5 linked regions of the Ovis aries genome follow. The protein of the gene in region 5 purifies or fractionates together with the protein of the main gene of each other region. This does not show direct contact. Links are inferred from orthologs where the notes say so. Each region holds a gene or a part of one and is shown on either strand. Other genes may lie near its edges.

Region 1 (6,267 bases), on a different chromosome or scaffold from region 5:
TAAAGAAAGAGAAAAAACCAGTTTTTCCCGTTGTGATGAGAATTCTTAGGATTTACTCCCTTAACTTTCCCATATAACATATAGCAGTATTACATTATTTCCCTAGTACTTACTTTTCTTATAACTGGAAGTGTGTAGCTTTTAACCACTTCTCTCCAGTTCCTCTCTCCCACTTCCTGCCTCTGGGAACCGCAAATATGATCTCTTTTTTTCTGAGTTTAATGTTTTTTTTTTTAAATCTATTTAATGCGGACGAATCACAGACAATTCATAAAAAGGTGTTAAATGTATGTGTACAGCAGTATATGTAATACCTATAACTCAATGGACTTGATATTTTAAAGTACAGTTGTAGAACCCGAGCAAAATGGAATCATATGTCACTCAAACAAGTTAACCAGAAAGATCATTGGGGTTCTGGATCCAAGATAAAATTTTTTTTTAAAAAAGGTAAATTTTGAAGTCTTATTTAAATTTTGTTGTTTAGTCAATAAGTCTGTCAAGTTCTTTTCGACTCCATGGACTGTGGCCCACCAGGCTCCTCTCTCCATGGGATTTCCCAGCTAAGAATATCAGAGTAGGTAGCACTTTCTTCTCCAGGGGATCGTCCGGACCCAGGGATTGAACCCACATTTCCTGCATCACAGATGGATTCTTTACTACTGACCCACCAGGTTGTTGTTCAGTTGCTAAGTCGCGCCCAACTATTTGCCATACCAGGCTTCCCTGTTCTGCATTATCTCCCTGAGTTTGCTCAAACTAATGTCCATGAAGTCGGTGATGCCATCCAACCATCACATCCTGTCACCACCACCTCCTCTTGCCCTCAATCTTTTCCAGCATCAGGGTCTTTTCCAATGAGTTGTCTTTTCCCATCAGGGAGCCAAAGTATTAGAACTTCAGCTTCAGCATCAGTCCCTCCAGTGAATATTCTGGGTTGGTTGATTTCCTTTAGGATTGACTGATTTGCTCTTCAAGTGACTCTCAAGAGTCTTCTCCCACATCCAAAACTTGAAAACATCAGTTCTTCACACTCAGCCTTTTTTATGGTTCAACTCTCACATCCAGTGCATGACTATTGTAAAAACCATAGCTTTTACTATACAGACATTTGAGCCACAAGGGAAGCCCTTTAAATTTTTCAGTGTTTCCATTAGGGACACTTGTCAGAAAGATTGTGACTCAGATGGCCTCACTGGAGCTTCCCTATGGCATTAATTATAAAATGCTAATTAGAGATTTATTCTTTAAAACATAAGAAAAACCTAGTTTCAATTAATAATTTACCAAAATCTAACATCACCAGTCCCCTTCCACCCAAGGCGGCTCCAGTTCGGAAACATGCTAGAGTTCAGAAATGCCCTGGGCTTCATAAGCTGAAGGTAGCTGATTCTTTGCAATTATTTCGTCCATAGCCTATTTGGTCCAAACAGTTAAGGTCTGCCTCTCGCTGGCCTTTTTGATCATTTATCTGCTCACTGGTATTTTTACACGTGAGGATAGCCAAGAAAAGAAAGGAAGATAACTTGCTTAATATGGAGTTTAATAAAGAGGGTAGAAGTTAAAGTAAACAGAGGCGTTCAGGTTGCCTGGCAACGTTCTCTGTCAACAGCCTCAGTATCCCACGCAATTCAGCAGGACACCTGAGTCTCATGGCTCCGTGCACGGACAGACACACTGGGTGATGGAAGGCACCGCGCTGACCGTCTGATCCCGGTCACTGCCCGCTGCCCCGGGCCGCTTCCCCGGTGCCCGATCCTCACAGGCTGGCCGCAGACTGCGTGACCGGTCCATCTCGGGCTACAGGATCCCCTTTCCCCGCTCTGGGCTCCTCCTGACTACGGAAAACACCGATCGCGCGAGCTGGGGAAGTAGCGAGCGGCGTCCAGGGACCTGTCGTGATCCCCGCCGGCCTCCGTACGTCCCCATGACCCCCACGGATGGCCTCCGTTTCACACGCCGGCCGCCGTACGTCCCCGCGAGCCGCAGTGACCCCCGCGGGTAGCCCCCGTGACCCCAGGCGGCCGCCGTACGTCCCCTAGGCCGCCGTGGACCCTGCCGGCCGCCGTAGGAGCGCCCCCACTCCCGCCCGGGCCGCGCTCTCAAGATGGCTCCCGGGCCTCACTGCCCCCCGGCCCACTCACTGAGGGCAGGGCAGCGGCGCTCGGCACAAGCCTCGCGTTCCGACGCCGGCGCAGCCTAGAGGCTAGGAGCTGCCGGCCGCCGGCCCTGCGCGCGCCGTTTCGCGGGGCGGGGCGGGGCGGGGCGCCGGGCCCCTTCCGGGGATGGGCCCGGGCTCCTCCCCGCTCGGGCGGGCGCTCCGCCGTGTCCCCGCCCGTCAGCCCGCCCGGTCCGGCTGGCTGCAGACCGAGCCCGGGCAGTCGCACCAGGAGCTCTCAGCCCGCGGGCGTCGGGAGGCGGGTCCCGGGCTGCGACCGGGCCGGGCCGAGCAGGCGGCCGCATCATGTTCTCGCTCAAGCCGCCCAGACCCACCTTCAGGTCCTACCTCCTGCCGCCGCCCCAGGTAAACAGTCGTCTCCCCGCTGCGCCCTCTTATCGCGCTTCCGGGGAGCCGCGCGCGGGCCGGCCCGGGAGGCTGTCCCGGACTCCAGACTCCGGCCCCGGATTCCGTTGCGGGGAAGCCACGCTCCAGCGATCCCCACCATCTCGGGGGAAACTTGCAAAACTCCGCCGAAGCCGTTGTCGGCTCGGAGACGGAACCCCAGGGAGCGATCGAACCTGGATTTATTTAGCCCTTTGCCCAGCGGCTGTCCACGCTGTGACCGCCGGCGGGATTGCATCGCCTGCGGGCTTCTGGAGGGAGGGGTCACCTACCTGTCGTAAATGTGAACACCTTGAGGCACCTCAGGCGGTTGTACAATATTGTTTTTTAGGTCCGACTCCCAATACCTTCACGAACAGGAGTTTAGTAAAAATGTGAAAGAATTTAAGGGGGGGGATACGTGCCTGTCGCGTGTGATCACTTAGGAAAAAAATTTGCCTTCTCTCACGGAGTAGGGGGGAATTTTTATTTTGATTTGTTTTGCTAATGTGTTTCAGACTGACGATAAGATTAATTCGGAACCGAAAATTAAAAAACTGGAGCCCGTTCTTTTGCCAGGTAAGCATGAGAGTTCTGGCAGATATTTTATTTGACAGATACTGGCCTAAGATTATTTTACCAACTAGTATCATGTGGTTAACTTTACTCATTTACTTTAAACTTCAGCGAGTTAAACACCTAACAACTGTGGAGGGGGGAAAAGTTGGTTAGAACTAAAGGACAGCAACAAAAAGTAATGATTAATTGATGTTTGTCCTTGAAAATTGAAGTATCATAGAAAACTGTCAAGAATGTCATTACCTCATTTTCTTTTTGTCTCCTGAAATGTTCTTTTTTTAAGCACTCATGAATTGCTTAGGTAGTGAGAGGACACTGTCCTTCATACCCATCTGCAACTTCATGTGTTTGTGGTTAATAGATCATTTCAATAGTATGAAAAGCAACTTTTATTATGTCTGAGTCTCTGTACTAATAACAAAACTTAGTGTACTTTGAATCACTTACTTGGCAATTGTTTTTTTGAAGGTGTCAGCTGGCTGTGTTTGCAGATCTCCTTGTTTCAATTTAGAATGGAGTTTTCCAACCGAGACACTCCAGACATTTTGGGCCTGGTCATTCTTTGTTTTAGGGTTGTCTTGTGTATTGCATGCTATTCAGCATCATTCCTGGCCTTTACCCCCAGATGCTAGGAGCACCCCCTCCTCTACCTTTTGTGAGAACCAGAATGTCTTGCCAAACTGTTTTGTCAGGGGAACTCTTAGTGCAAAACTTTCTCTCTGTGGAGAAGCACTGGTTTAGAACAAAATTGACCTTAAATGACCTTAGAGGTATCAGTAAGAATTGATGGTAAATTGTTATATGCTTTAGTTTTAATGCATATAAGATATTTGTTTGACTGGTAGTTTGAATTGTATAGTAATTATATGATAGTTAGGAAAAGTCAGTTGTTTAACTCGATTATTGGGGAAAGTAACCAGAAAAGCCCATTTTAAACCTGAAATGCAATCAAATACCAGTCTGTGTGGCTACTATCAACATTTTAAAATCTCAGTCATTACTTAATTCTAAATCTGGTAAAATGACTAGAGCTCTATAAGTAGTAACTGAACAAATATGGAAACTTTAAATTTTGTGTTGTAAAATTTTAAATGTTAAGTGAAAAGTGAAAGTGAACGTTGCTCAGTCGTGTCCGACTCTTTGCGACCCCATGGACTATACAGTCCATGGAATTTTCCAGGCCAGAATACTGGAGTGGGTTGCCTTTCCCTTCTCCAGGTGATCTTGCCAACTCAGGGATCGAACCCAGATCTCCCACATTGCAGGCGAATTCTTTACCAGCTGAGCCACAATGTTAAGTAGAACAAACAAATTTAAAACATCAACCTTTGGTTCCATGTTACAGATGTTAACTTTTAAAATTGTTTCAACTTAATTATGGAAGTTAGTTATAAATGTTTTCTCTTTATTTTGTTAATGCTTTTTAGCCAAACTGCATGTACTAAATAATCCTTTGCACTTGTCCCCAGAGTGAAGAATAGAATTAATAAGTAACCTTTGCTCCTTGTGCGTGATCTGTTTTGGCTTTAGTCACTCTGGTCTTTTAAATGTCCCTGCGGCAAGCAGTGCTCATCCTGAATGAGAGCCTGTGAGCTACTGAACTTTGGCTCCTTTTGCTCTGACTGAGCAGGCCCTGTTCTTTGATTCCCTGCTTCCAATACTTGATTTGATTTGACACTAATAAACCACATGGTCTTAGCTACAAATGATACAGCTTGATTTTCAGTAATTAACTTCTGTGTTTAAGATATGCTTGTGAAAGTGTTGATACATATCAGTAAGCTCTAAGAACTTTGTGTGCTTAGTCACTCAGTTGTGTGCAACTCTTTTGTGACCCCATGGACTGTAGCCTGCCAGGCTTCTCTGTCCATGGGCATTTTCCAGGCAAGAATATTGGAGTGGGTTGCCATGCCCTCCTCCAGGAAATCTTCCCAACCCAGGCATCAAACCCAGGTCTCCTGCATTTCAGGCAGATTCTTTACTGTCTGAACTACCAGAGAAGCCCAAGAATACTGGAGTGGGTAGTCTATCCCTTCTCCAGGGGAACTTCCCAACCCAGGAATCGAACTGGGGTCTCCTGCATTGCAGGAGGATTCTTTACCAGCTGAGTTCAACTAAAAACTGGTTCAGTTGCTAAGTTTTGTCCAGCTCTTTACGACTCTATGGATTGCAGCACACCAGGCTTCCCTGTCCATCACCAACTCCTGGAGCTTGCTCAAACTCATGTCCGTTGAGTTGGTGATGCCATCCAACCATCTCATCCTCTGTTGTCCCCTTCTCCTCCTGCCCTCAATCTTTCCCAGAATCAGAGTCTTTTCCAATGAGTTGGCTCTTCGCATCAGGTGGCCATAGTATTGGAGCTTCAGCCAGCATCAGTCCTTCCAGTGAATATTCAGGGTTGATTTCCTTTAGGATTGAGTGATTTAAGCTCCTTGTAGTCCAAGAGACTTACCTTTCTGTTAAAAAGTCAGAGTTTTCTGGGGAAGATGGAAACCTGTTTCCTAACTGTCAGTGGTTTACTTGTCTTAGAGATCACGGCTCAATCTGGATCCTCTTAGCCATAGTAGCATTTTTTCTTTGGCTCTGTGTGTGCACACATGATGGCTTGACACCCAGCATTCTGTCTGCACCTAACCTGTTCCTCACAGAACACTTAGTCCTAAATTAGCATGTCTTTCGCCCTCCTTCCCCCTCCTGTTCATACCTTCTCCTGGCCTTCCACCTCTCAGGTTGCATCTCTGACTCCCGCTAGAACCTCTGCGGCTCTGTTTCTGGCCTGCAGCCCCCTGCCTTCCACCTGTGAATCGTGGGAGACACGTGGAAAGTAACTGCAGCATTGGTGATCTAAAGACCTGGGCTAGCTTAGGGCTTTTACTGAGAGAGCTTAATAATACAGTTCTAGCCTTCATTATAGTTTAAAAAAGGAAACTTGGCCAAGTCACCTGTGGCTTTGCATAGGCACACGAAACAAGGAAGTAATTGTTCAGAGATGTAGTATTGGACATTACGCTTTGGCGTGGTGCCTTGGGTTCAAGGATATCCTACTTTAGCTGCCCAAAGTTTGAACTTTTAATTCAATAAGCAGATGAAAATTGGAACACACAATCAATTGTTTATTTGTGTGTAGTTACCTAGTACTCTGTTGA
Region 2 (5,827 bases), on a different chromosome or scaffold from region 5:
CACAGCAGCATATTCATAAGAGCCAAAAAGTGAAAACAATTCCATGTCCCTCAACTAATGAACAGATAAATAAAATACGGCACATCCACACCATGGAATATTATTCAGCAATAATAAAAGAATGAGATTCTGATATCTGCTATGACATGGATGAGCTGTGATAACATTTGTGTTCAGTGAAAGAAGCCAGGCACGAGGGCCACATTCTGCACAGCTCCATTTACGCGAACTGCTGAGGACAGGCAAACCTACAGAAACAGAAAGTAGATGAGCGGCAGCCTAAGGCTGGGGCGGGTGGGTGGGGATATGGGGGTTTCTGGGGATGATGAAAATGTTCTCAAATCAACCAGGGTGATGGCTGCAGGAGATGTGAGAAACGCAGGTTGGATCCCTGGGTCGGGAAGATCCGCTGGAGGAGGGCATGGCAACCCACTCCAGTGTTCTTGCCTGGAGGATTCCATGGACATGGGGCCTGGTGGGCTACAGTCCACGGGGTCACGTGGAGTCAGACACGACTGACTGAGCAGCTGAGCACACCCGGTTGCACAACCCTGTGAATGTGCTTTTAAAAACCACGATACACATCACGGGGATGAACTGACAAGGCACGTGAATTAAATCTCAACAAATCCGCCAAAAAGAAAAGCATGGTGCCGAGAGCTTACCTTTCACAGACTTTATAGCCTTCATTGACACTCACTGCCTTGTACTTCATGTTGCCTTTGGTCCGCTCCAGCTCCCGACACCAGTCCTGAAGTGTGTCAAACATTACGGCGTGCTTCTTGGGGTCCGTTGCTAACAAAACAAATGGAGAAAGACAGTAAAATTTTGTTGTGAAGCCTGGTGTTTTAACGCTGTGAAAGTGGCTCCTTGGGCCCCAAGTTCCTCCACAAAGCCCATTTTTATCCCTGCAGAATGAACTCACTGCTTCATCCTAACCTTGTTCCTTTCTTTCTGTCATTCATCCAAAATTATAAGCGAGGCTCTGTCTCTTTGTACCAGGGGAAAGGAGCTGTTCTCGTTCCATTCCTTGCAAAAGTAATTTATAGCTCCATCTGCAGTCATCTGACCATGAGATAATTTATATAACATAAAAAAGATCCCGTGAAGCACTAAAAGACTGGCTTGGCACAAATGCTAAAATAATAAAATATTTTTAGCCCTACCCATGTGTGCATAAGATGGCAAACTCATTTGAACAGCATGTCAGATTCCTGAGTCTAAAGCCTCCTTGCCAAGAAGAGGAGTCCTCAGTGTGACACCTGGCTCCTGAAAGCCACAAACGAAGGAGATGGCCACGTCGAGGGTCGGGGCCCATAGGCCAAGGGCCACATCTCGCTGATGGGGACTTCTGCCCCTCACCCTGCCACTCCCTGCAAGGAGCAAGGGCTCAGGAGTGCTGCTCACGCAGCCCAGCAGGTGTGCCCGTGGTCCTCCCCACAGCACCGCCTGATGAGGGTGACATGCACCAAAACACCCTTGGGTGGTCACACGGATCAGTTCGTTCCAACCTGTGCACATCTTTAAAAGCAAGCCTTCTGGGGAAAACAAAGTGTTAAATTAAATGCCCACCTGCTCCTTTTAATAAAACCACATCATAGTACAAAGAATGATAATACAAACAATGATTAAAAAAACAACAACAACAGTAGTGAAGCTTATATAGCACTTAGGATGCCAAGCACTATTCTGAGCACATTTCATGTGCTCAATCCTCACAACCCTACAGGGTAGGCAATATTATTTCCGTCATTCAGGCATGGCACAGAAAGGTCAATTAACTCGTCCAAGGTCACACAGCTAGGCAATGGCAGAACTGGAATTCAAACCTAGGCAGCATAAATTTCCCATAAGGTTAACAGATTCAAATAAACTTCCCCACAGACATGAGTAATACCAATATTCCTATTCAAGCATACTAGGTCATTTTCTTAGCAACACAGATAAGTTCTTTCCTAAAATGCCAGGTCACAAACATTTAGGACCTTTCAGCCAAAGTACATTTGTGTATTATTAAACCTGAGAAGAATGAAAGATGTTCCGATTGCAAAGCACCCATTTCTACAAACCCCTACACGATCAAAAAAACTGGTCCACTTGCACCTCTCAGTTATAACCTTTACTTTATCAAAAAAAGAAGGCTGGAAGGAGAAGAGAAGGATGCTGGAATTTGAATAGAACACAAGATGCTACACAGCCTGGACATTCTGGCACAAAAATAAAATCTCCATAAGGTAATGAAACTGCCAGGGTCAGTCAAGGTAAGGGTATTGGCACACAGATCGACACCTGCTGGGGAGCTGGGATATGTCCTGTGCTGGTCCAGACCAAGAGTCAGGATACAAGGGAGAGGCAGAGCTCCTAAAAACAGTATGATTTTCACATGTAGACCCAATAAATGTTTATACGAAGTACAGCAATCAACAAAGAGGTCGTATTTTGTATAGCTCATACTGCAACACGCTGTTGTCAGCCAGCACCCAGCTAATCAGCATGTACACGCATTGCTACCGTGAAAAGATCATTCACAGACAGGAACTTACTACATGACGGCACAAGGTTTGGGCTCAGACTACTAGTAGTGCTGAGTACATTTTCATGTCAGTGTAATTCTCTGGGCAGTATCTGCCCTGAATAAGCAGTTACACTCTCAATTAACCCTCACTCAATGACTGTACCCTATGTGCCGTGCATTTAACAATCTACAGTCTTCAAAACATTCATGGGAAGCATTAACACTACTGTTTTTTAAATGAGAAAACAGAGGCCTCAGGAGTTAAGCGCCATCCCCAGGGTCTACGCTACTAGGCAGCTGGACAAAGATTTGAACTCAGGAGGGACAGACCTGGAAATTCACACCTTTTCTTCACGATCACCACAGTTCCCCAAATGCAGCCTGCTCTCCCAGATAGCTTCATCTCTGCACACGCCAGTCTCACTTCCTCAAACACTCCTGAGTGCCGATACAATCTCCACCAGCAGCTCAGGCCCGACCTTTGCCCTCTGACAGCCCTCCCTCCCCAGCGTGGCTGGTCCCTTCCACCAGTGCACACAACACTCTGACTGGTTGCTTATTTCTTCTTCTGGCTGTGCCGTGTGGTGTTCAGGATCCTAGCTCCCCAACCAGGGATTAAACCCAGGCCCCCTGCAGTGGAAGCACAGTGTCCTAACTATTGGCCCAGTGGGGAATTCCCTGACTCAATGTCTTAGAGGGCAGAGATTTAGTCCTGTTCATATTTCCAGGGTGCCTGACCCATAGCAAGCATTCGAGAAACATTTACCAAGTGAGCAGCTGGTGACAAAGCAACTCTGCATTCCACAAAGCGTGACATGTGCAGGCAGGACACGTCATGTCCCTGAAGAAAAGCTCATGGCACACGGGATTGGTCAACACCAACTTCACGTTCAGAGTGATGGGCAGATAGGGACGTAATGTATAACATGACGAATACAATTAACACTGTTGTGCGTTTATGTATGGAAGCTGTTAAAGAGAGTAAATCCTAAGGGTTCTGACCACAAGGAAAAAATTTTTCTGTTTCTTGAATATCATGTCGATGTACGATGATGAACGTTCACTAAAATTACTGTGGGCATCATGTCATGACAATGGAAATCAAATCGTTATGCTGTGCACCTTAAACTTATACATGCTGTGTCAATTATATCTCAGTAAAACTGGAAGGAAAAAAAATTAAAATACTAATTTGGAATTAAAAAAAAAAAAGGAATGGGAAGAGCAAGTGAACAGATGGAGGGGAAAGATCCAGAGAAGGATGAAGACAAACATCTGTGGAATCACTGTACAACACTGGGCATTATTAATAGCTAGTTCAGATGACCACAGTTTCTTACTAAAAAGATTGCTCTCTTTTTCAGGGAACCAAATGGAAAACATTCGGAATTTCAAGTTTTCGAACCAAACTGGTTTTCAGATGTGCTCTCTTCTGTACAAGTGTTCTCTTCCCCATCCCCAAATATTTGCTATAAAGCATGTTCTGGCTGTTTAAAAACTTTCTAGAATGCAAGACATTTTTGTAGGGTCTTATGAAATGAAATCAAGCCTATGAAAGTGGAACAAAGAACCCAGGGACAGAAAGGGTAATTTTAAACTTGTCTCAATTTTCTTTCTCTATAGTCTCACATTTCCAATGACAATTTATTGATTTTAATCTTTCATAAGAACCCATCAAATAATCCTTCACAAAAAGCAAACAAACCTAAAAGATAAGTTAAAGCAACAAAGATCACAGGAAAGAAACAGAAACCTTTTTTAAAAGAAGAACTTTGAATCAATCACCCAAGTAAGAGGTGACCCATTGCTAGAAAAGATGGGGAAAAAAACCCACGGATGGGTTTTCTCCCATGAGCTGCAGGTAGGAACTGGAAGGGTCCTGCCTAACTGCGGATGAAAGCTTACCTGGGCTGTTTCGTGCTGCAGTCGCGTAGGAAAACAGAAACAATCGTTTAAGCAGTTTAGGGGCCTGGGTATGATGAATTATGCCACTGACAATCTACAAAGAACCAAGTAATGGATACAGTCATGCTTTTGGCAAGTAAACACTGAGAGACAAGACTCAAGTTGTCTAGGTTTTCAGTAATGCCCATGGGCTCCGCTGAGCAACATGCTAACTCTCATTGAGGTCTGTATCTGTGATATTATCTCTTGGAATAATGCCACACAAACAGAATGCTAACTATTTTGTCAGGTTTTTTAAGAGCTTTGAATTTCTAGGGAAATTTTTAAGACATAATCTAATTTATCAAAGACAAAGTGCTAAAAAAAAACTTAAGTGCCATATTCAGACACTCCAAAAATCTGACATGTCAAAAATGTAAAGTAAAAGAAAGTGAAGTCACTCAGTCATGTCTGACTCTTTACAACACCATGGACTGTAGCTCGCCAGGTTCCTCTGTCCATGGAATTCTCCAAGCAAGAATACTGGAGTGTGTTGCCATTTCCTTCTCCAGGGGATACCATCAACCCAGGGATTGAACCCGGGTCTCCTGCCTTGCAGGCAGACTCCTTACCGTCTGAGCCACCAGGGGAGTCTTTCTAAAGATGTAAAGCTGATATCAGATAATAATCAAGACACTGAGCTATTCTGATCTATGTGTTATGGCCTTAAGGATCTTCTTCTAGAAGACAGCCTTCCCATGGTGGCTGATGGTAAGGAGTCTGTCTGCAATGCAGGAGACCCAGCTTCAATCCCTGGGTCAAGAAGATTCCCCTGGAAAAGGGAACGGCAACCCACTCCAGCGTTCTTGCCTGGAAAATCCCTTGCCTGGACGGAGGAGCCTGGCAGGCTACAGTCTATGCAGTCGCAAAAAGTGGGACACGACTGAGCGACATCACTTTCTTTCTTTCGTTCTAGAAGATAAGGAACTCAATCTACCATGCTTTTTGTTTGAAGTTCCAAACAAAAAGTATATTTGGACAGATGATGAAAATCATCATTCAAATGGAAGTTTCTTGCTTCTTAGGGAATTTTCCGTATCTATACCACTTTTTTCTGCTCAGAACAAATACTGGGGTCATGTTTATTATTCTAACCAAACTCCCATGCTACCTGAAAGAAGATTAAGGGGATATCTAAAAAGAATGTCTAATAACTCACTGTAGCCAAAGCCAACTGATAAACTGACCTCTCGCTAAAGGTTTTCCCTGATGCATTTACTGTGACAGTGGCAAGTCTGAGACCTTCAATATCTTAAGAGAAACCTTGTAACTTAAAATAATCACTGTAACCAGTTCACCCGGTTACACACCTCAATTTGCTGCAGCAACCAGATTAAGTAAGTGACCAAAAGCACAGGCTTATTTGGT
Region 3 (5,827 bases), about 29 Mb from region 5:
ATTTGGATTTGTTTCCATATAGCTGTGAAGCCCATTCCTATCTTTAGCTTTGCTACAGTCCTTTCCTATCTCCTTAGTTATTTTCTAAGGTTTTTGCCCATGCAGTGATGTTTCTAGAGCCATACAAAAAGCTCCATTTTTCATCTGCTACATGCATCACATTATTAAGCAAACTGTTGATTTATTTGACTTTTGTTTTGCTGATTTTTTTTTCCAGGAACTTTATTTGATGATAAAGGAGACAAGCATGCCAAAAAAGGAATTTGTATTTGGGAGTGTATTGATAGAATGCACAAGAGGAGTCCCGTTTTCTTTAATTATTTATATTCACCAGTGGAAATAGAGGTAAAGAAAGCAAGCATTTATGTTGCATTTTTGGAATATTTTTGTGTTGAAGTTTTCCTTACGTTGAGCGTATATAAGCTGTTTAAGCTTTTTATAAACATTTGACTAGGTTTCATACCAGAAGTTATTTCAAAGTTGATACACTTTGGGTTTAGATTATGATGCAATGAAGTCTGTTACCAAATTCTTGACCAGAAAAATTAGGAGCTGGCCCCCTAGACATAGAGAGGATAACTTCAAGAAACTCAGAGCAAATCAACTTGCCCTGGAAAGGAGAACAAACAAAACTTAAACCCTCAGCATACTGTCTAAGCTGAAAAACCTAAAGTACTTCAGAAAAGACTTCCCTAAGTCCATTCATACCAGAGCCATGGAAGAAACCCTATGAGAAGCAGGAAGGTTGGAGCCCAGCCAAGAAAGTTGACTTCTCAGGGACAGCCATGCTCTGCCATGCCCGTCTACATGAAATAGGCTCTGCAGTGGAGCGGAGCTCTCCACCACCACTCACGGGCAAAAAGGCCAGACCCTGGGCCCCAGAACAATAGGACCCCACCTTGGCCTTTCTCCACATGCACCCTCCTTATGAGGTGTGTGAGAAACCAAGGGTACATGCTCAGATGCTCCTCCTTCATCTAGACCACACTCTGGTACTTCAGAATTCCTTGCCCAAATTCAAATTACTTGCCAGACCACTTCCCTAAGCCAGTAAGTACACTCCTAAGCCGAAGGTCCACTAAGGAGTAGCATTTGTCAGGGAGCAGACAGTTCATCTGCAGGGCTGGGGTATACGTGCCTGTTCGTAAGAGACCTTCAGAGTGCAGGACAGAGCTGAGCCAGGAGCAGCAGAGGTTTAGGCCAACAACTGGGAACTGGGACCAGCCTCCCCCAGTGCCGAGGAGTCTGAGAATTCTCAACTGAAACCTGGCCTTCTAGGTCGTTTGGAAGTTATATTTGTCAGGGTAGGAGGATGGAACACACTTTATCTAATAGTTATATTGATGTGTAATGTTTAAATATATAGACATATGTAATGAGAACCTCTGTTCATCCTCTTCCCTGGACCCTGCAGTGTCGGGGGCTGGCCTGCCTGTAAGCTTGGGCTACTTTGAGGTCAGGATAAAACTACATTTCAGAATTTTCTTCAAACAGGCCCTGAAGCCAAGTGTAAATGTTTCCAGCCTCAAGAAGTGGGATTACTATATAGAGGAGACGCTTTCCACAGGGCCCTCTTATGACTGGATGATGCTGACCCCCAAGCAGCTGCCCTCCGAAGACTCTGAGCTGGCCGGAGGAGCCAGGCCCCAGAGCCAGAGGAGAACCGTGTGGCCATGCTACGATGATGTCAGCTGTGCTCAGCCCGACGCTCTCACCAGCCTTTTCAGTGTAAGTCAGCCACGCAAAGCCAGACTCCCAAGGCTCTGGGCCCCTGAAGGCACGAGAGGCCTCGGGAACCTGGCTGAGTGAAGCCTGGTTCACCAGCTCCTGGCTAGCATTCTTGCCAGCACCGTAGAACATGTGGAAACCAGACCGGCTCCCCAGCATCCCTGGAGATCCAGGCACAGGGACTGGAAAACAGTCTCAGTAGAAGGGAGTTTTTCATCATTACGAGGAAGCATTCAAGCAAGTAGAACAGTTCGCAGCTTCCCGGCTGTTTCATCTGGCCAAGAGCCGGAGTCAGGCCTGGGTTATGACTTCTGTGGGTGCCTTACTTCCCCCGGTCAGAAGTGTGGGTAGCTGATGGTCTGATGGGAGTACTGCCAGCCGTCTTCTGCAAGTTATATTCTGGAGTGAAGCCACTCTGGCAGTAACCCCCATGAGGAGAGCAGCGGCCCTGAGGGAAGGGTTTGAGCCCTGACACAGGCCAGACAGTTCCTGAAGAGCCTTCTCCATTCAGTCTTCCCACCAGGAGAAGCGTGTGCGAGAGCGCCGTCACAGAGGCCGCTGCTCTGCTCTCAGTCTCCCTGGCCGAGGGAAACGCCAGGCTTGGGCATTTCTTGGTTCATTCTCCCTACATCTGGTTTGAATCATCAGAGTCAAGGGGTTTCTCTGTCCAGGACAGACTTCTCATCTACCTCAGCTATTAGGGTCTGGACATAGGCCTAGTGCTTGACCTTTTGCTGTGGCCATCAGATTTCCTATGGGCTGGCCAAGGGTGAAGGTGTTCGGATACAGATTTCATCTCTCTATTTAAGCCATCAGTACAAAGAGGCCCGGTTACAGATCCTAATAAATTATCTTTGCCACAGTGCATCACACCAGCTAGCACTCCCGCCACCACCATTTCTGGCTGGGAGGCCTCTGAGGCCCTGGGCTCACTGCTCAGAGGAGCTGTGGCTCTGGGGAGCATCGTGATTTCTGTGAAAGACTTGGTTGGCCAAGAAGTTCGTTTGAGTTTGTCTGCTGTTATGGAAAAGCCCAAACGAACTTCTTAACCAACCCAATACTTAATCTGTAAAAAAAAAAAAAAAAAAAAACCCTTTTAATTTCTCTGTAGGAAATTGAAAGACTGGAGCATAAATTGAACCAAACCCCTGAGAAGTGGCAGCAGCTGTGGGAACGGGTAAACGTGGACCTTAAAGAAGAGCCCAGAGCAGACCATGTGAGTTGGCAAAGCCCTTTGAAGAGCTGCTGCTGAGCTTCTTGAGGGCACTGGGTCAGCTGGGGCCTCTGCCACTCGTAACCCAGGACGTTTATGGCCAAAGAGAGGGGTCATGCCTTGAGGGTCCAGGGCAGAAATTTCCAAACGACCGAGTACTTCCTGAGTGTCTCACTCTACCACAGTGATATGATACTTATGTTCAGTGCCCTAAATCCGGGGGAAATTACTGGGTTTTTTCTATCTCAGCACCTCTGTGGTTTCAGCTGGTCTTCTGCCACAGGAGGGGAGGGAAGAAGGGAATGCCAAGATCTTGTTGGCTCCAGAGAAATAGGGAAAATGAAATATTTTAAAACAGTAAAATATGCCACTCTCTGTTGCTCACCCCCCCCTTTTTGTTTCTAAATTAAGAAACATTTACTGTAAAAATATTTTAATACCAAATACTCCATTTTCTGCTTCTCACCACCCCTTAAGCTGTAACATGTGGAATGGGCTGTGCTGAGCCCCTGAGCATCCACACCTTAGCGTCCTGTTAACCTGCAGTGAGGCAGTGGCGTCCAGCTCATGCCTGCAGGCTCAGGCCCAGAAAACACGGCTGATACACAGGGAGGCCACCGGCCAAACCCACAGCAGGTCGGCTCCAAGTGCAGCAGAGGGAGGTTAGGACAGATGAGAGCACTTGAGGAAAGGAGAGGTGAGCAGGGTCAGATGTCACAGAGGGGTCAAGGAGAATGGAGTATAGAAGAAAATGTCCTCGGACCCTATAAGAAGGGGTCCTTGAGGCGCCATTTTTTGCCTGCAAGTGGCAACTCAGGGGCTATTATCAGACAGGCCACAGGTGGATGAAGTCTTACTGCTTTTTTTCTAAGAATAAAATAGTTTGTTAATTTTTTTGATTATGAATATGAGATATATGTATTCCTTTAAGTATGTATTTCCTTTATAACACAGGAAGTTATAAAATAGAAATCACCCAAAATTTATAACATAGAAATAAACCACTATGCCTTCAGACTTTTAAACACATATATAAAAGGGATTTACTATAGACGTAGTTTTTAAACCTGCTTTCTTTTTTCCTTAATATATGGCATGCGTGTCCTTCCATTTGTCGCATATAAATCAGCATCCTTTGTAACAGCTGTCTAGAATTCCGTTGTTCAGAAATTTTTTTTTTTTTAACTAGCCCCATAATGATCAACATTTAGGTACTTTCTAGTTTTTCGCTATGTTAAAAAAAAAAAACTCCAAGGTAAGCATCCTTTTATACATATTTTATATAGACATAAATATATGATCCAGTTTCTTTCTTGAGGTAAATTTTTAGAAGTGAAATTACCAGATTAGCTACTTAAAGTCTTTGTAAAGCCTTCCTACCTCCTGTTCTTTTTCAGCCCCAGAGATACCCTTCAGGATCCCCAGGAACTGTGTCCACCAACCTCCCTTTTTATCAGAAGAGGCCTCAGCTCCACCTTCCAGAGAGCAACGTGGCAGAAGAGCAGAACACTGGTGTCCCCCCATCCAACGGGGTGGACCGCAGAGCAGCCACGCTGTACAGCCAGTACACGCCCAAGAACGACGAGAACAGGTAGATGCTGTGAGCCCTTCCAGGGGGTGCAGCAGAGGCTCTCCCAGCCCCCCTCGAATCAGCTGGGCCTAGGCCGTGCCACGTCTATCAACTTAAAAGGGATCCGCTTTAATTCTTTGTTTCTGTTTTAAATGTGGTAGATGGTTCTTGGAAGAGGAAAAGTCAAAATTATAACTAAAACAAGGCCGGAAGGTTGTAGTTTTTTGTGGCGGGCCCTACTATCTCCTATCTGCCTGGTCTTTTGAGGGAATGTGTGTTAGTGAGCACTTCTCCAGTGGCAGACTTCTGAGATCCAGCACATGCTCGACCAAGCAGAAAGGAATTTACTCACATGAGGTGAGAAGGCCAGGATGCACCAGTTTCTCACAGTACCTTCAGGCTTCTCTCATTCACCAGCTCTGCTGCCTGTACAGGCTGCGTGAACCCCAGCGTGGTACAAAGGATGGCTACTGAGAGCTCCAGACCTCACAAGCTTGGCAATCCCAGCAGAATGAGGCAGTCTTTCCCTGAGAGTCTAGTAGAGGAATTCTGGGGGGAGCTCCGACTGATCTTTTTTGGATCATCTAGGGGAAACAGAGTCTTGACCAACAAAAACAGCAGATATTGCCTTTACAGCACGTAGTAAAATCATATTAACCGCCATGTCATCATTACTTCTAGGTCCTTCGAGGGAACGCTGTACAAAAGAGGGGCTTTGCTGAAAGGCTGGAAGCCCCGTTGGTTTGTTTTGGATGTAACAAAGCATCAGGTAATAAACACCATCACAGCCTGTAGCAGTCACTTCTCCCTAGGCGAGGCTCCGTCCCTGGCTGTTGTGTGACTCCCAGCAGACACGCAGAGCCCCCATGCACAAAATGCTTCCCTGAGGCTTCTCACCAGCTACCTGTGGGCTCCTCTGTGGAGCCAGTGAGAGGGCACCTAGCAGCCCTCTGAGAAAGTGCGGGTGTGTGCAACAGAGGCAGTGACCAGGCGCCCAGAGCATCAGGAGCAACAAAACTCTGCTTTCTAATGCTCATGCATCTCCTGCTGCCTGCTGTCCACAACCAGGCCGGGGGAGGACCTCAGGGTTTCAGCGTATTGCGTACCACATGCATACACAGAGCCCATGCCTGTGAACACTCTCCAGAGCACAGATCACTTCATCTCGACAGCACAAAGCATCCATTCAAAGTCAAGGGTGTTAATTTATTCAACAAACATTTCTTGAACACCTTCTCTGTGCCCATCCCTGTACTAAAGAAGGCATCATTATCCCTCAAAGGTGACAGCAACAGAGGAGGGAGGGAGCTTTAAAA
Region 4 (6,303 bases), on a different chromosome or scaffold from region 5:
CTCTCAAAACACTTGCTGCCACCGAAGGCCTGTTTCCCCCACAGCCCCTGGGCAGGTGTCCTCTGGCATCAGGGTGCAGCCTGGGAGCTTAGTTCACCCCACGGCTGCAGACTGGGTCAGAGACCCCTGTGACCCCGCTGCCTCTGCGGGGCACAGCCCCTGGCGCTTGTCGTCCGTGACTGTGCGTGTGCCGCTCCCCCAGGGGAAACCCACAGGCCTCCCCCATGGTGCTCAGTGCAGAGCCACTTCTGGGGATGGCAGGCTGGCCACCCAAGCACTGCTCGGCCGTGGAGACAAACAAGACGCGGCCCAGGGAACTGCAGGCGGCGGTGTGCTGGCGGCCGCGGAGGCATGCTTTGGAGAGTGTCCATGGGGCAGGAAAAGCCAGGGCGGCTTTGGCTGCGTAGACGCGTCTAGTGAGGTTTTGTCTGAGTGTCTTAAGGTGGGAAAGACTGAGCTTGATCCTGATGGTGAGGATCCTAGAGAGGGAAAGATGAGGCAGGGCACCGACAGCAAACAGCCAGAGGAGGGCAGGGGGCAGGAGGGGCCGAGCCTCTGTGTAACTGCGGCCGGGGGGGGGGGGGGGGGGGGGGGGGGGTGAGGGCCAGACTTGGGGTGATGCAGGTCTGTTTTCTCTGTGAAGGAGGCCAGCAGGGCCATCTCTGCGACACTGGAGGGGGCGCCAGAGGCTTGAGGAAACTGCAGAGTGACGCGCACTGGCCAGATGTGGGCTAGCTGGGCGGCAGGGAGAGCAGTGACCTGCAGCTGGGGCCGGGGTGTCACGGTGCGGGGTCACTCTGCACCAGATGCTGCTACAGGCTGGAGGAGACGGGTGGGCAGGACTGTGCGTGGCTGGGATTTGCTAGTCGGGGAGGTGGGGGCGAGGGTGTTGGCAGGGTGACGGGCACTGGAGCCATGCTAGGTGGGGGTGAAAGGACAGAAAGGGAGCCAAGGGGCCCCAAAATGAGAGGGCGCGCCTGCTGCGGGTGGGGAGGCGCAGACCCTCAGGAAGGGAGGAAGCACCCAGAGGGGGACAGGTACAGGGTGCTAGCAAGAAAGCTGAGCAGGGGTATCATGCTCTGGAAGTGACCCTAACCCTACCCTTGACCCTAAAGTGCCTCTGAGACGGCTCAGGGAGTGGGCTCCTTGCAACAGGGCCCAAGGGTGGGGGAATATAGGGGGCAGGGTCCCCACCGTCTCTGCAGGAGAGCCTGTCCTGGGCTCAGGGGCCAGGCCAGAGGGCTTGCCAGGGACACTGCCTGCCCATGCATGAGCTCAGTGGCGTGGCAGTGGTGGCCAGGACCTTTTGGGATAGAAGTGAGAAAAACCAACTTCAGACAGCCGGGGCAGAAAGGAGGGGTTCTCATCCCAGGACTCAACAGCAGCAGAAGAGGCTGTGACAGGCCTGTGCCCAGGGCAGGGCGGGGGCCCAGTGGTCTCCTCTTTCAGCCCTCTCTGGCTTGGGTTTTCGGGGCTCCCATTTGTGAGGGCGGGCAGGACCGTCAGCAGTCTGCTCCTTCACAGGTTCTCAAAGTGCCACACTCATCCAGAAACGAGCTCCCCGTCCCAGCGAGTCAGCGGCAGCCCCGAGGCCCCCCCCACCGCGTGACGCCTCTCCTAGTGTCTGCCCGAGACTCTGAGTCCCTCCTGCCCATCCGTGTGGCATGCAGGGCCCGAGGGTGGGAGGCACTGCTGGGAACCTCAGCAGGGCAGCCTGCTCCCTGCTTTTCACAGCAGGGTGTGCGGCGCGCTGTTCTGAAGAAGATCAGCCCTGGGATTTCTTTGGAAGGAATGATGCTAAAGCTGAAACTCCAGTACTTTGGCCACCTCTTGCGAACAGCTGACTCATTGGAAAAGACTCTGATGCTGGGAGGGATTGGGGGCAGGAGGAGAAGGGGACGACAGAGGATGAGATGGCTGGATGGCATCACTGACTCGATGGACGTGTGTCTGAGCGAACTGCGGGAGATGGTGATGGACAGGGAGGCCTGGCGTGCTGCGATTCATGGGGTCGCAGAGTCGGACACTGAGCGACTGAACTGAACTGAACTGATGTTAAGCGTTTCGCCTCACTGAGACCGGGCTCCCGAGTGGGGCCAGAGCCCTCCTCAGGCAGGAAACCCCAAGGGCAGGCCTGACTGGGCCCCCTCCCTTGCCAGGATGGCGGCGTCCGGGACGTCCCAGGGCCCCTCCCAGTCCCGGAGGCCCGTGCGCAGGACTGCGCCTTCCAGTCTTCCTCCGGGCTGACAGCGCGGGCGGGGAGACCCTGGGAGCCGCGCGGGCCCGAGCCTGAGAGCGCCCGGGGCAGGACCCGAGACCCCACGGCCTGCGAGGGCGCCGCGGCCGCGGGGCGCGCTCCCACCCGGGCCGAGCGGGCCTGCGACCCGGAGCCGCCGTCCCTGTCACCGCCTGGGGGCGGGGAGAAGCGGAGCCCCGCCCCCTGGTGCGCGGCCCAATAAGGGTGCGCCTCTTCGGGCTCCTCCCACCCGGGGCGAGGCCCAATGAGGGCGCGCCGCTCTGTGCCCCGCCCTCCCGGGGCGGGGCGAGGGCGCGCAGGCGCACGGCGCGGCCGGGCGGGCCGGCGGGCTGGGAAGATGGCGGCGCAAAGCCTGGCGGCCGCCGCAAACCTACCCCGGAGCGTCCGGGGCGCGCGGGCCGGGGCCGGGGCCGGGCCATGAGCGCGCCGCCCTCGCGTGCCCGAGCCGCGGAGCCCGCCCGCGCCCCTCGCCATGGCGCGGCTCGCGGACTACTTCGTGCTGGTGGCGTTCGGGCCGCACCCGCGCGGTGAGTGCCGGCGCGCGGCCGCGGGCCGAGGGCCGGGGGCCGGGAAGGGGCGGCGGGGCGGCCCCGGGCCCGCCGGGCGCTCGCTGCGCCGGGCCGGCCACCCGGGGTCGGGGGTCACGGGGGCCGGCCTCCCCGACGTGGGCCGCGCGGCGTGACGGGGCGGGCCGCGCTCGCCGGCCGCCGTCAGGGCAGAGGCGGCCCGGCCGCGCCTCGGCGTCGCCGGCAGGCGGGAGGGCCCCGGGCGGCTCGGCCTGCGCCTCCCAGATGGGTGGGACGGGCTCCCTTCGCGGGGGCCGGCCGCCGGAGGGCTCTGCCTCCAGGGGCACGGGCCGCTCAGCCGGCTGCAAGCCCCTTCTCTGACCCCCGGGGCCGCCGGCCTGGAGCCTGTGGCCCCTGTGCCGTGTCTCAGGCCCAGGAGGCTGGGGGCGTGCAGACAGGGTTGGGGCTCAGGGACTGCTTCTTGGAGAGGCGGCGTTTGAGCCGGAATTCGGAGGACATCGGTAAGAACTGTGGGGAGGAGAGAGAAGAGTGTTCCTGGCCAAGGGCCTGCCCGCCAAGCCTGGGTGAGAGCGCGGCCTGGTGCCCGTGGCCGGGGGCTCCGTGTCTCGGATCACCACCTGTGTCTGAGAACCCTCCAGCCCAGGGGGTAGGAAAAAGCCTGACGATGACATCAGCACCGGCCGCGGAGACGTCGGCGTCGGGGAGCGCACTCCGTGTGCCAGGCCCTGCTCTGCCCCTGCGTGCACGAGTGCGCTTCCTCCTCCCGGCAGCCTGCGGAGGGCTCCGTCGTCGCCCCCATCCGAACGCTGCAGTCCGGGCAGAGGCTGAGCGCCTGGTCGGAGCCACTACAGAGGGAGTGGGACCCGCGCCGGGGCTCGCCCAGAGCCTCGCTGCGGCTCAGACCCCAGCTGCAGGAGGGCAGGCGCGGCTTTGGGGTGGTGGGGACGGCTGTGTGGTCAGGTTGGGGCTGAGCCTGGAGCCTGAGGGTGGGGTCAAGACCCCCATTCTACCCTGCTTCTTGACGCCCTGGCTGCCGCTGTCGCCCTCCTTGCCTTGCCTCTCCCGGAGCCTGCGCCTGCTGGGCCCCACCCTCCTCACTCCCTCTCACACGGGGGGCCTCTACCCGTCCTGTCCGCCCGACACCCTCGGTGTCAGGGACGGCGTTCTGGGCCGGGACCAGTCGTCCTCGCGTGCAGCCTGCACGTGGAGGCTGTGAGTGCCCCACAGGCCAGACGGAGAGCTGTCTTCTCCAGGACCCGTGGGGTGGGGCAGCGAGAAGGCTGTGCCCTGCGGCAGGGGGTGCACAGGGTCTGGGGCGACCGGGCTGGGTGAGGTGCGGCCCCAGCATGAGGGTCCCGGGACTGCATAAGCAGGGGGGGCTGAGGTCGCCGCAGGCTGTGCGGGGAGGCTGAGGAGGCAGAAGCCGGGGAGGCATGCTGATGGTGGCGGCAGCTGGAGTGCGTGTCAGGGGAGGAGAGGCAGCCTCGGCGGGCTCCACGGCAAGCTGGCGGCGGGCACCCACAGAGCGTGTGGCCTCTGAGTGGGCAGGGGAGAAGGTCGGTGCCACAGTGCCTGTCACCCTGAGTGACGGGAAGGAGTGAGTCTTAAGATGTCCCCTGCAGTAGGGCTGGGGGCCGTGGAACCCCCTAACCGCTACCTTCTGGGATTGGAGCTGGCCACCTGCTGGCTGGCCACCTCGCCTCAGGGCCTTCCTTGGCAGGACTGGTCCAGCCTGTGAGGAGCCAGCCCCCAGGCTGCAGCAGAGGCGCGCAGCCTGAGGCCCCGGCCTGGCCTCTCGGTGCCTCTGTGACCTCGGGCCAGTCTTTCGGCCCCTGCGCCGCTGTCTCCTCTTCTGGTGGCGGGATGAGTCACAGAGGCCTCCCCGCCAGCTGCCGTGAGCACGGTGGGGGGGGGGGGGGATGCACACACGCCGCGCTCACACAGGAAGCTCCAGGAAGTGACGGGTGTCTTGTTAACACCAAGCCGCACATGTGTGGACGCTCGTGGCAGTGGGCGCCTTTGCTGGAGCTGGAGGGCCCCTGCCTGCTGGCAGGCCTCGGCCTCGAGCCCAGGGCCACGGGGCCTTTGGGTTCAGTGGAGAGGGTAGGCGTGGTGGGGCCTTGTCCCTGCCTGGCACCTGGACATCTTCCTTGCCTGAGGGAGTATCCTGGTTTTGTGGGGCTACCTGACAGCAGGCTCTAGGTAGCAGGGCAGGGAGGGGCTGGGGTGGGACCTTTCCATTCATCTCAGAGGCTGCAGGCTCCTCTGCTGATGAGTTGGGGGCGCTCCTCACTGAGGACCTAGGTTTAGCATATTTTACAACCTGGCCCAGCTCTGGGGACATCATGGGGGCCAGAGAGCCCCCCCCCCATGCCCATTTCCTGGCCATGGTGGTCTTGTCTGAGGAGAGGGCTCTCCAGCCCTGGCCTCACTCCTGACTGCGCTGAGCTGGTCACCTCTCCCCACCCATGGCCCTGCCCCTCTTCTGGAGCAGGTCGGAGCTGTTTGGGCTGGTCGGGGCTGGGAGCCCAAAGGGTCCAAAGCCTCGGGTCAGAGCCAGGCCTGTCTGACCGGCAGGTTGGAGAGGCTGCGGCCCCTCTGCCGAGTCCTGCGCTGTGGCCTCGGGGGAGTGGTGGGGGGCCCTGTGTTGAGGTCTGGGGTGTGGACCAGCAGGAGGGTGCTGTCCTTCCGGCGGCCGGGCTGGTCTCTGGGCGTGAGCTCTGAGTGGGGGGGTGGCCAAGCAGGCTGCCACCCTCCCGTCGCCTCTGCCCCCAGCACTTGCTGGCCTGGGCTGGCCCGGGCATCGGAGCCTGGCACTGGTGCCGGCGTTGCTGGGGATGACAGACGCGCGCTCTGTGTTCCCCCCGCGGGGTTGGCTGTGTGGGGACTGGCTGCAGGAGGAAGCACTGCACTGCCTGTGTCCCAGGGGGCCTCTGTCCTTCCTCCCGGGCCCCGCTGTGCTGTCTGCGTTAGTCCTGTCACGGGTGGGAGGGGCGCCTCCCTTCTGTCTACCCGAGGTGGGGCAGGAGCTTCAGCTGCTCGAGGTCCCGTCCGTGGCCTCAGGAGCTGGGGTTGGTGAGGGTGCTGGGCAATGTGGCAAATACCCTCCATCCCCAGAATGCAGGCCCGCAGCCGTGCTGCACCTGGGCCCCTGTTGGCACAGAGTGGAGGTGTGGGCTGGGGTCTCAGAGGAGGGGGAGGGCATCGGGGAGGCCCGTGGCGCGCCCGGTGTGTTTGGGGCTCAGGAAGCTGCCCGCACGTCCCCCCAGGAGCCAGTCTGCCCGTGGGGTGGGAGGAGCAGCCGAGGCTGGTTAGCCCGAGGGCCGCGGGTGCAGGATGGAGCTTCTTGGAGGCCTCTCTGGCTGGCAGGTGCCCCAGGAACCCCAGAAGGCAGTGGCTGGGGGGTGGGAGATTCCTGGGTCCCACCGCAGCCCCTGTGCGTGGGCAGGGTTCAGAGAGCTGGCTTGAGGAGGTGATGGTCGTTGGGCTGAGGCCTGAGGGCCAGGTTTGGGGCTGGCG
Region 5 (6,304 bases):
CCTATATGCAGGTCAGGAAGCAACAGTTAGAACTGGACATGGAACAACAGACTGGCTCCAAATAGGAAAAGGAGTACGTCAAGGCTGTATATTGTCACCCTGCTTATTTAACTTCTATGCAGAGTACATCATGAGAAACGCTGGACTGGAAGAAACACAAGCTGGAATCAAGATTGCCAGGAGAAATATCAATAACCTCAGATATGCAGATGACACCACCCTTATGGCAGAAAGTGAAGAGGAGCTAAAAAGCCTCTTGATGAAAGTGAAAGTGGAGAGTGAAAAAGTTGGCCTAAAGCTCAACATTCAGAAAACGAAGATCATGATATCTGGTCCCATCAGTTCATGGGAAATAGATGGGGAAACAGTGGACTCAGACTTTATTTTGGGGGGCTCCAAAATCACTGCAGATGGTGATTGCAGCCATGAAATTAAAAGATGCTTACTCCTTGGAAGAAAAGTTATGACCAACCTAGATAGCATATTCAAAAGCAGAGACATTACTTTGCCGACTAAGGTGCGTCTAGTCAAGGCTATGGTTTTCCAGTGGTCATGTATGGATGTGAGAGCCGGACTGTGAAGAAAGCGCAGCACTGAAGAATTGATGCTTTTGAACTGCGGTGTTGAAGACTCTTGAGAGTCCCTTGGACTGCAGGGAGATCCAACCAGTCCATTCTGAAGGAGATCAGCCCTGGGATTTCTTTGGAGGGAATGATGCTGAAGCTGAAACTCCAGTACTTTGGCCACCTCATGCGAAGAGTTGACTCATTGGAAAAGACTCTGATGCTGGGAGGGATTGGGGGCAGGAGGAGAAGGGGACGACAGAGGATGAGATGGCTGGATGGCGTCACTGACTCGATGGACATGAGTCTGAGTGAACTCCGGGAGTTGGTGATGGACAGGGAGGCCTGGCGTGCTGCGATTCATGGGGTCGCAAAGAGTTGGACACGACTGAGCGACTGAACTGAACTCATCTAATCTGTGAAGCTGGTTTCCTGTTTTACAGATTAAAAAATTAATGTTCCATGCCTTGGATTACACTGCAAATAACTGAGAGAGGCAGGATGTGAATCCACTAACTTTAAAGTAGGCTTTGCGTGCTTAGTCGCTTCAGTCGTGTCTGACTCTGCGACCCCATGAACTGCAGCCTACCAGGCTCCTCTGTCCATGGGATTCTCCAGCCAACAGTACTGGAGTGGGTTGCCACTTCCTTCTCCTAAGTGAAGTCGCTCAGTCGTGTCCGACTCCTTGCGACCCCGTGGACTGCAGCCTACCAGGCTTCTCTGTCCATGGGATTCTTCAGGCAAGAATACTGGAGTGGGTTACCATTTCCTTCTCCAGGGGATCTTCACGACCCAGGGATCGAACCCAGGTCTCCCGCATTGGAGGCAGACGCTTTAACCTCTAAGCCACCAAGGAAGCCTCCTAAAGTAGGCTTTAATTATGATTTAAGGAACAATTACTTAATCATTTTCAGCTCTTGACATGATGAGTATTTCGCCGTCTCACCTCTCACAGCCTCATCCTTTACGCGAACCTGTGTTCAGGTCCTCCCCTCCTCATCCCCCACGTCCCTCTGCCTCTCATCCTAGGGTTTGCCCACATCCTTTATTATTCTGTTCTCTTCCCCGACCCCCACATTCCCGTCACAATCGTCCCCGTCCTTAAGGTCCTTGTCTTCAGACCCTCGTCCGTAGTACTCGCTGCTTCATTATTTTTGAAACGGCCCCTCCTCCTGCAGCCCCGGCTCCCGCCGGCCTCAGAGGAGCCTCGGCCCTCAGGCGCCGTCACGCGCTCCGCGGCCCCCGGCGGCCGCACGGGGTGGCGGCGTGCGAAGCGCGCGAGGGCGGGCGCCCCCGGGGCGCCGCGGGCTCCTCCGGCTCCCGGCAGCGCCCGCGCGCGGTGCAGGCTGGGGGAACATGGCCGCTTCCGGTCTCCCTGCCGGGCCGGCGCGGGCTTGAGCGCGGACCCAGCCCGTCGCACCCCGCCCTCCGCTCCTCCCGCCGGGCAGCCGCGGAGGTCGCCGCAGGCTTTTCCTCCGGCTGCCCCCGCGCCGCGCCATGGAGAAGAGCTCGAGTTGCGAAAGCCTTGGCTCTCAGCCAGCGGTAGCACGGCCGCCCAGCGTGGACTCCCTGTCCAGGTAACCGGGGCCCGCCGAGCGCCCGAGGGGGATGAAGTGGAGCCCGGGACCCGCTGGACGGGGCCCCACGTCGCGGGCTCCGGGACTGGGAGGCTGCGCCGGAATTCCTTCCCTCAGGCTGGGCACCTCTTCTTTCTTCCTCTCTGCGGGTTAGATGCTGGGAAAGAGGAGGTTAAAACTCTGCGGTTCTTCATCGGTCTTACCTTTTGTATTCTGGTGTTTTTATCTGCGGTCGAGAACGCCTCAGTCCTCTACATCCTCTAATCTCTCATTTCCCTTTAATTCATTTTTTGGACAGCCCTTCCCCAACTCTGTCCCCTCCCCCCTTCTCCTCCCTGCCTTTCTCCCTTGACGACTCTTCTGAGACCCTTCTCCAGTCTTTTTTCCATCCGTCTTTCAGTCTTGGGTTTCTGGCTTCTTGCCCACCCTTTCCGCTCTTTCCCGTCACTTATTTTAAGGTTTCCTTGCATTCTGATCTTCCCCCCTCCCCCCAACTTTGCTTTAAAATGTGAGTACCCACACCGTGAATCTTCCAGCTGAACGTTATTATTCCTGAGTAATGAGTGGTAGTTTTCGTTCTTCCTGGGCTACCTACCGGTTCTCCAGGTTTCCATCTTGTATCAGCTGGGATTTTTTTCCCCCTGGAATTTTGAGGAGGATTTTACTATGTAGCTTTTCGCAGGGCTGGCGTGAATATTAACTTGACGTGTTTCAAAGGCAGGTTTTTCCTGTTGTTTTAAAATAGTAAATTTTATTAAGCAATAGGAAGACCTGTATTGTTATACTGCTACATTGAAATCAGGTTCTTTTCCTTTGAAAAAGTCTAGTTGTTATTAGTTATTAGATACTAAATCGCTGTAAACTAGCACGTTTCATTTTTTTTCCCGTGAATAAATTGGAATTATTATTATTACTAGTTGCTCAGTCGTGTCCGACTTTTTGCGACCCCATGGACTGTAGCCCGCCAGGCTCCTCTGTCCATGGGATTCTCTAGGCAAAAACACTGGAGTGGATTGCCATTTCCTCCTCCAGGGGACCTTCCCAACTGTACATAAAGGATACTTCATTAATGTGCATTAGAGGATACCACAGGTTAACTGTCATAGAAAACTGTCTCTTGAGCCTTTAAATTCTGTTGCTCTCTTTTAATTCGTTTTGGACTCTGCTAAATATGGGTGATACTCCCTTTTTTTTTTTTTTTTTTCTGTTGCTGTTCAGGACCTCATTGGGAAGTCAATCATTACTTGATCCCACCTTTCTTTATTAGATTCTCTTCCTAAATGTGTTCACAGCAACCTGCCCAGCCCTTTTACAGTGTTTTTAACAAGCACAGTGTTGGTTTAATTGTCTTCTCTACTAGACTGTCAGCTACTTGAGGACAAGGATCATATCGTATTGGTTTTCATATCACCATCATTTAACAGAGACCCTGCCTGTCAGAGGTGCTTAATAAATTTTATTTTTTGAATTTGTAGTTTGAATTATGCCGGAGAGTGATTTTGCATTTGATTATATACCACTAGTGTGCATTTGTTTCAGGTGCTTTTTAGGTTTATTGCTCTGAAATTTAGGTCTTCCCTGGTGGCTCAGAAGGTAAAGAATCTGCCTGCAATGAAATTTAGAAGACTGGGGGATTTACACTCAGCTGTAAAATCATTCAGAAAGCAGGCTGGAAAATTATAATTTTACGGGAAAGTTACAAATGGCAACTATGGCTCAGGATAGATAGAATGTAAAGAAAACAAATGAGACAGCTGAAGTAATCTCATCCAAGGGAGGATCTGGAACCACAGGAGGCAGCATACTCTTGTTAGAAAGAAGTACTGGCTGTCAGGAGGCTCAGGCTCTTTAGACCTAGGCTCAGTTTGTCATTTGGCCTGTCTCATTTAACCTCTCCAGTCTGTGGTTTTTTCATCTTTTGAAATAAGGCAGGGGGAAGGGAGAGTTGATCTAGAACATCTGTAAGGTCCCTTTAAGCTTTAAAAAATCTGTCAGTTCTGTATCTTAATGATAATAACCTTTGTTTTGAATTTTTGAAATTACACTAAATGTTTAAATCACATAACTAGGTTAGTTTTGCCAGTTAAGCACATTTATTTAGTAAAAGAAAAAGCCCAACAACTTGAAAGTTTATATGTTTATATTTTAACTTCTTAATGAAACATTAGGTTACATATGAATATGGGAAAGTTAAGAATTCCTTGAATTTTGACTGGAGTTTGTTGGCTTCATCCTCTCCAGACAAAACTATAAGTATGGCTCTACTTTCACAGGAAAATGCCAGCTTTCAGTCCTGTTCTCTAGAAAAGAGAAAAATAATATTTATTGATTGTCTATAGAATTCATCCTGCTAAATTCTTTCATATCTTTTATTTTGTGAATAATTACACCTATTTGTGGCACTCTCTTTAATCAACATTATAGGATAGCTGGATTGTAGACACTTGTTAGAAAGCTTAATTTTATACTTAATTTAGGGTCGCAGTCAATCATAGGTGCTTCTAATACAGAGGGAGGGTAGACAACTATGGTTAGTTACAACAGCAATGTTACGTAACTACCCAGATTAGGTTTACTACTTTTGTTATCCTATGATTAAGTGAAATATTGGTGTTTGAACTGTATTATTTCAGGCTTTTGCAGAACTCTCATTCTTAAATTGTAGTTCTGCTTTCGTTTTATACAATTAGAAAATTCTCATTTTCTTATTTTCAGTTAGGAAAATTGCTTTGTGAAATTACTTTGATATCTCTTGCAAAATAATAGTTAATAATTCTATTCAGTGTATTACAGATTGTGATTTGCACACTAGATTACCAAATTTCTGCTGAGTTTAGTTTCAAGGGAAATTTTGGTTATGTTTTCTATTTGTTTCAAAATGGAAATTATGTAGCTGCATCTTCAATTCGGCAAAAAGTCTTCAGTCAAATTTATAACTGAAGTTGGTAATATATTCATCTTTAATTCCTTCAAATACTCCTACTATTAGATGGAGCCAGCTTAAATATTATGTTTAAATGTGTTAATTTGTAAAATGTTTTATACTCTTCTGGGAAGTAGGAAAAATATAAATCTGTAAAATAGTACTATAACCCTTGTGGTTGCCCATTGTTTTTTGGAAAATGACACACTCAATTTAGGTTGAGTGATTGGCTCTTGTGGGATCTGTGGTTCACACTAAATATATGTTAGTTTTAATATCTATATATCCACAATCTATGTATATCTATAAATCTGGAGTCAGCTCAGGATTGCTATTGCTTCTAGCTTTGCCTTCTAGGTCATTATAAGCCTTATATCTTTGTTCACAGAAGAGCAATTTCATTCTTAATATGATATTTAGATAGTAGTTTCTATCAGCTACAGCTGATTAGCAATTATGTCATCTTGCATGCTTAAGCTAATTTTCTTTGGTGAGTCCTGCTTGGTATTGCCTACTTGAGTGAGTGGTTCAGCAGCTCTTGTATATCCTGCTGTTGCCTTCATCACACATGTCCTGCCCCACAGAGAGAGCGAGAGTTGTGGAAAAAAATTCATTTCAGCACACTGATTATCTGACTGTATTCCAGTTGGTCTTGCTCTGATTTTTGTGGTCAGAGTATTGATAAAATAATACTGTGGGCTGGATACGGCAGCTAGGGTAGACCTGAGCTTCAGAACTGTAGAAGTTATACAGCAGAATTTAACGCTATACTGATATTCATCTGGCTGCTTAGTCTGTTTTTTTCCATCTTTCAGTTTGTACACTGTTAGAGAATGTACTGCTTAAGTGGGTTTCTTTGATTATTTTTTACTGTGCACAATCATGCTAATAAATCTAGTGCCAGAGAGGCACCCAGTAGATGATTGAATAAAGAAATGTTGACTGAATGTTCAACACTTGTCTTATTTGTTGTTTCTACTCAAAGAATTAAAAGGTTTTCCAAAGTGAAATGTGGCCTATAAAGTCACAAGTTCAGGTTCGAGCTGATGGGGCCCTTGTGTGAAGCCTTTTGACACCCCGGGCGTTTTTATTGTCTGAATTATCTTTTCGGTGCCCACTCCTCTTGTCTTCACAGCATTGTTTCCTTAGCCTACTGGATTTTCCATCTGTCTTGATGACTTTGGTCTCTTTCTCTCAAATTTAGTTTGTCAGTTAATTTAATCTGTATTTCTTTCATCCGA

The links.
Region 1: the proteins of MTMR2 (region 5) and MTMR10 purify together in Homo sapiens (affinity purification with mass spectrometry; 5 studies listed by BioGRID and IntAct, with this or other methods). This does not show direct contact. The link is inferred for Ovis aries from reciprocal best matches to the Homo sapiens genes MTMR2 and MTMR10.
Region 2: the proteins of MTMR2 (region 5) and MTMR12 purify together in Homo sapiens (affinity purification with mass spectrometry; 5 studies listed by BioGRID and IntAct, with this or other methods). This does not show direct contact. The link is inferred for Ovis aries from reciprocal best matches to the Homo sapiens genes MTMR2 and MTMR12.
Region 3: the proteins of MTMR2 (region 5) and SBF2 purify together in Homo sapiens (affinity purification with mass spectrometry; 3 studies listed by BioGRID and IntAct, with this or other methods). This does not show direct contact. The link is inferred for Ovis aries from reciprocal best matches to the Homo sapiens genes MTMR2 and SBF2.
Region 4: the proteins of MTMR2 (region 5) and SBF1 purify together in Homo sapiens (affinity purification with mass spectrometry; 6 studies listed by BioGRID and IntAct, with this or other methods). This does not show direct contact. The link is inferred for Ovis aries from reciprocal best matches to the Homo sapiens genes MTMR2 and SBF1.

The regions. Positions count from the first base shown.
Region 1 is NC_056071.1:25,228,382-25,234,648, reverse strand, and holds the start of MTMR10 (myotubularin-related protein 10), read left to right. Parts: upstream 1-2,081; 5' UTR 2,082-2,285; coding exon 2,286-2,524; intron 2,525-2,567; exon of another isoform or gene 2,568-2,894; intron 2,895-3,060; coding exon 3,061-3,121; intron 3,122-6,267.
Region 2 is NC_056069.1:41,495,751-41,501,577, reverse strand, and holds part of MTMR12 (myotubularin-related protein 12), read right to left. Parts: intron 4,515-5,827; coding exon 4,421-4,514; intron 796-4,420; coding exon 666-795; intron 1-665. UniProt on the Homo sapiens protein: Acts as an adapter for the myotubularin-related phosphatases. Regulates phosphatase MTM1 protein stability and possibly its intracellular location. By stabilizing MTM1 protein levels, required for skeletal muscle maintenance but not for myogenesis.
Region 3 is NC_056068.1:42,587,552-42,593,378, forward strand, and holds part of SBF2 (myotubularin-related protein 13), read left to right. Parts: intron 1-217; coding exon 218-345; intron 346-1,494; coding exon 1,495-1,728; intron 1,729-2,839; coding exon 2,840-2,944; intron 2,945-4,338; coding exon 4,339-4,532; intron 4,533-5,192; coding exon 5,193-5,280; intron 5,281-5,827. UniProt on the Homo sapiens protein: Guanine nucleotide exchange factor (GEF) which activates RAB21 and possibly RAB28. Promotes the exchange of GDP to GTP, converting inactive GDP-bound Rab proteins into their active GTP-bound form.
Region 4 is NC_056056.1:225,704,633-225,710,935, reverse strand, and holds the start of SBF1 (myotubularin-related protein 5), read left to right. Parts: upstream 1-2,571; 5' UTR 2,572-2,729; coding exon 2,730-2,784; intron 2,785-6,303. UniProt on the Homo sapiens protein: Acts as an adapter for the phosphatase MTMR2 to regulate MTMR2 catalytic activity and subcellular location. Promotes the exchange of GDP to GTP, converting inactive GDP-bound Rab proteins into their active GTP-bound form.
Region 5 is NC_056068.1:13,956,880-13,963,183, forward strand, and holds the start of MTMR2 (myotubularin-related protein 2), read left to right. Parts: upstream 1-1,901; 5' UTR 1,902-2,060; coding exon 2,061-2,140; intron 2,141-3,500; exon of another isoform or gene 3,501-3,582; intron 3,583-6,304. UniProt on the Homo sapiens protein: Lipid phosphatase that specifically dephosphorylates the D-3 position of phosphatidylinositol 3-phosphate and phosphatidylinositol 3,5-bisphosphate, generating phosphatidylinositol and phosphatidylinositol 5-phosphate.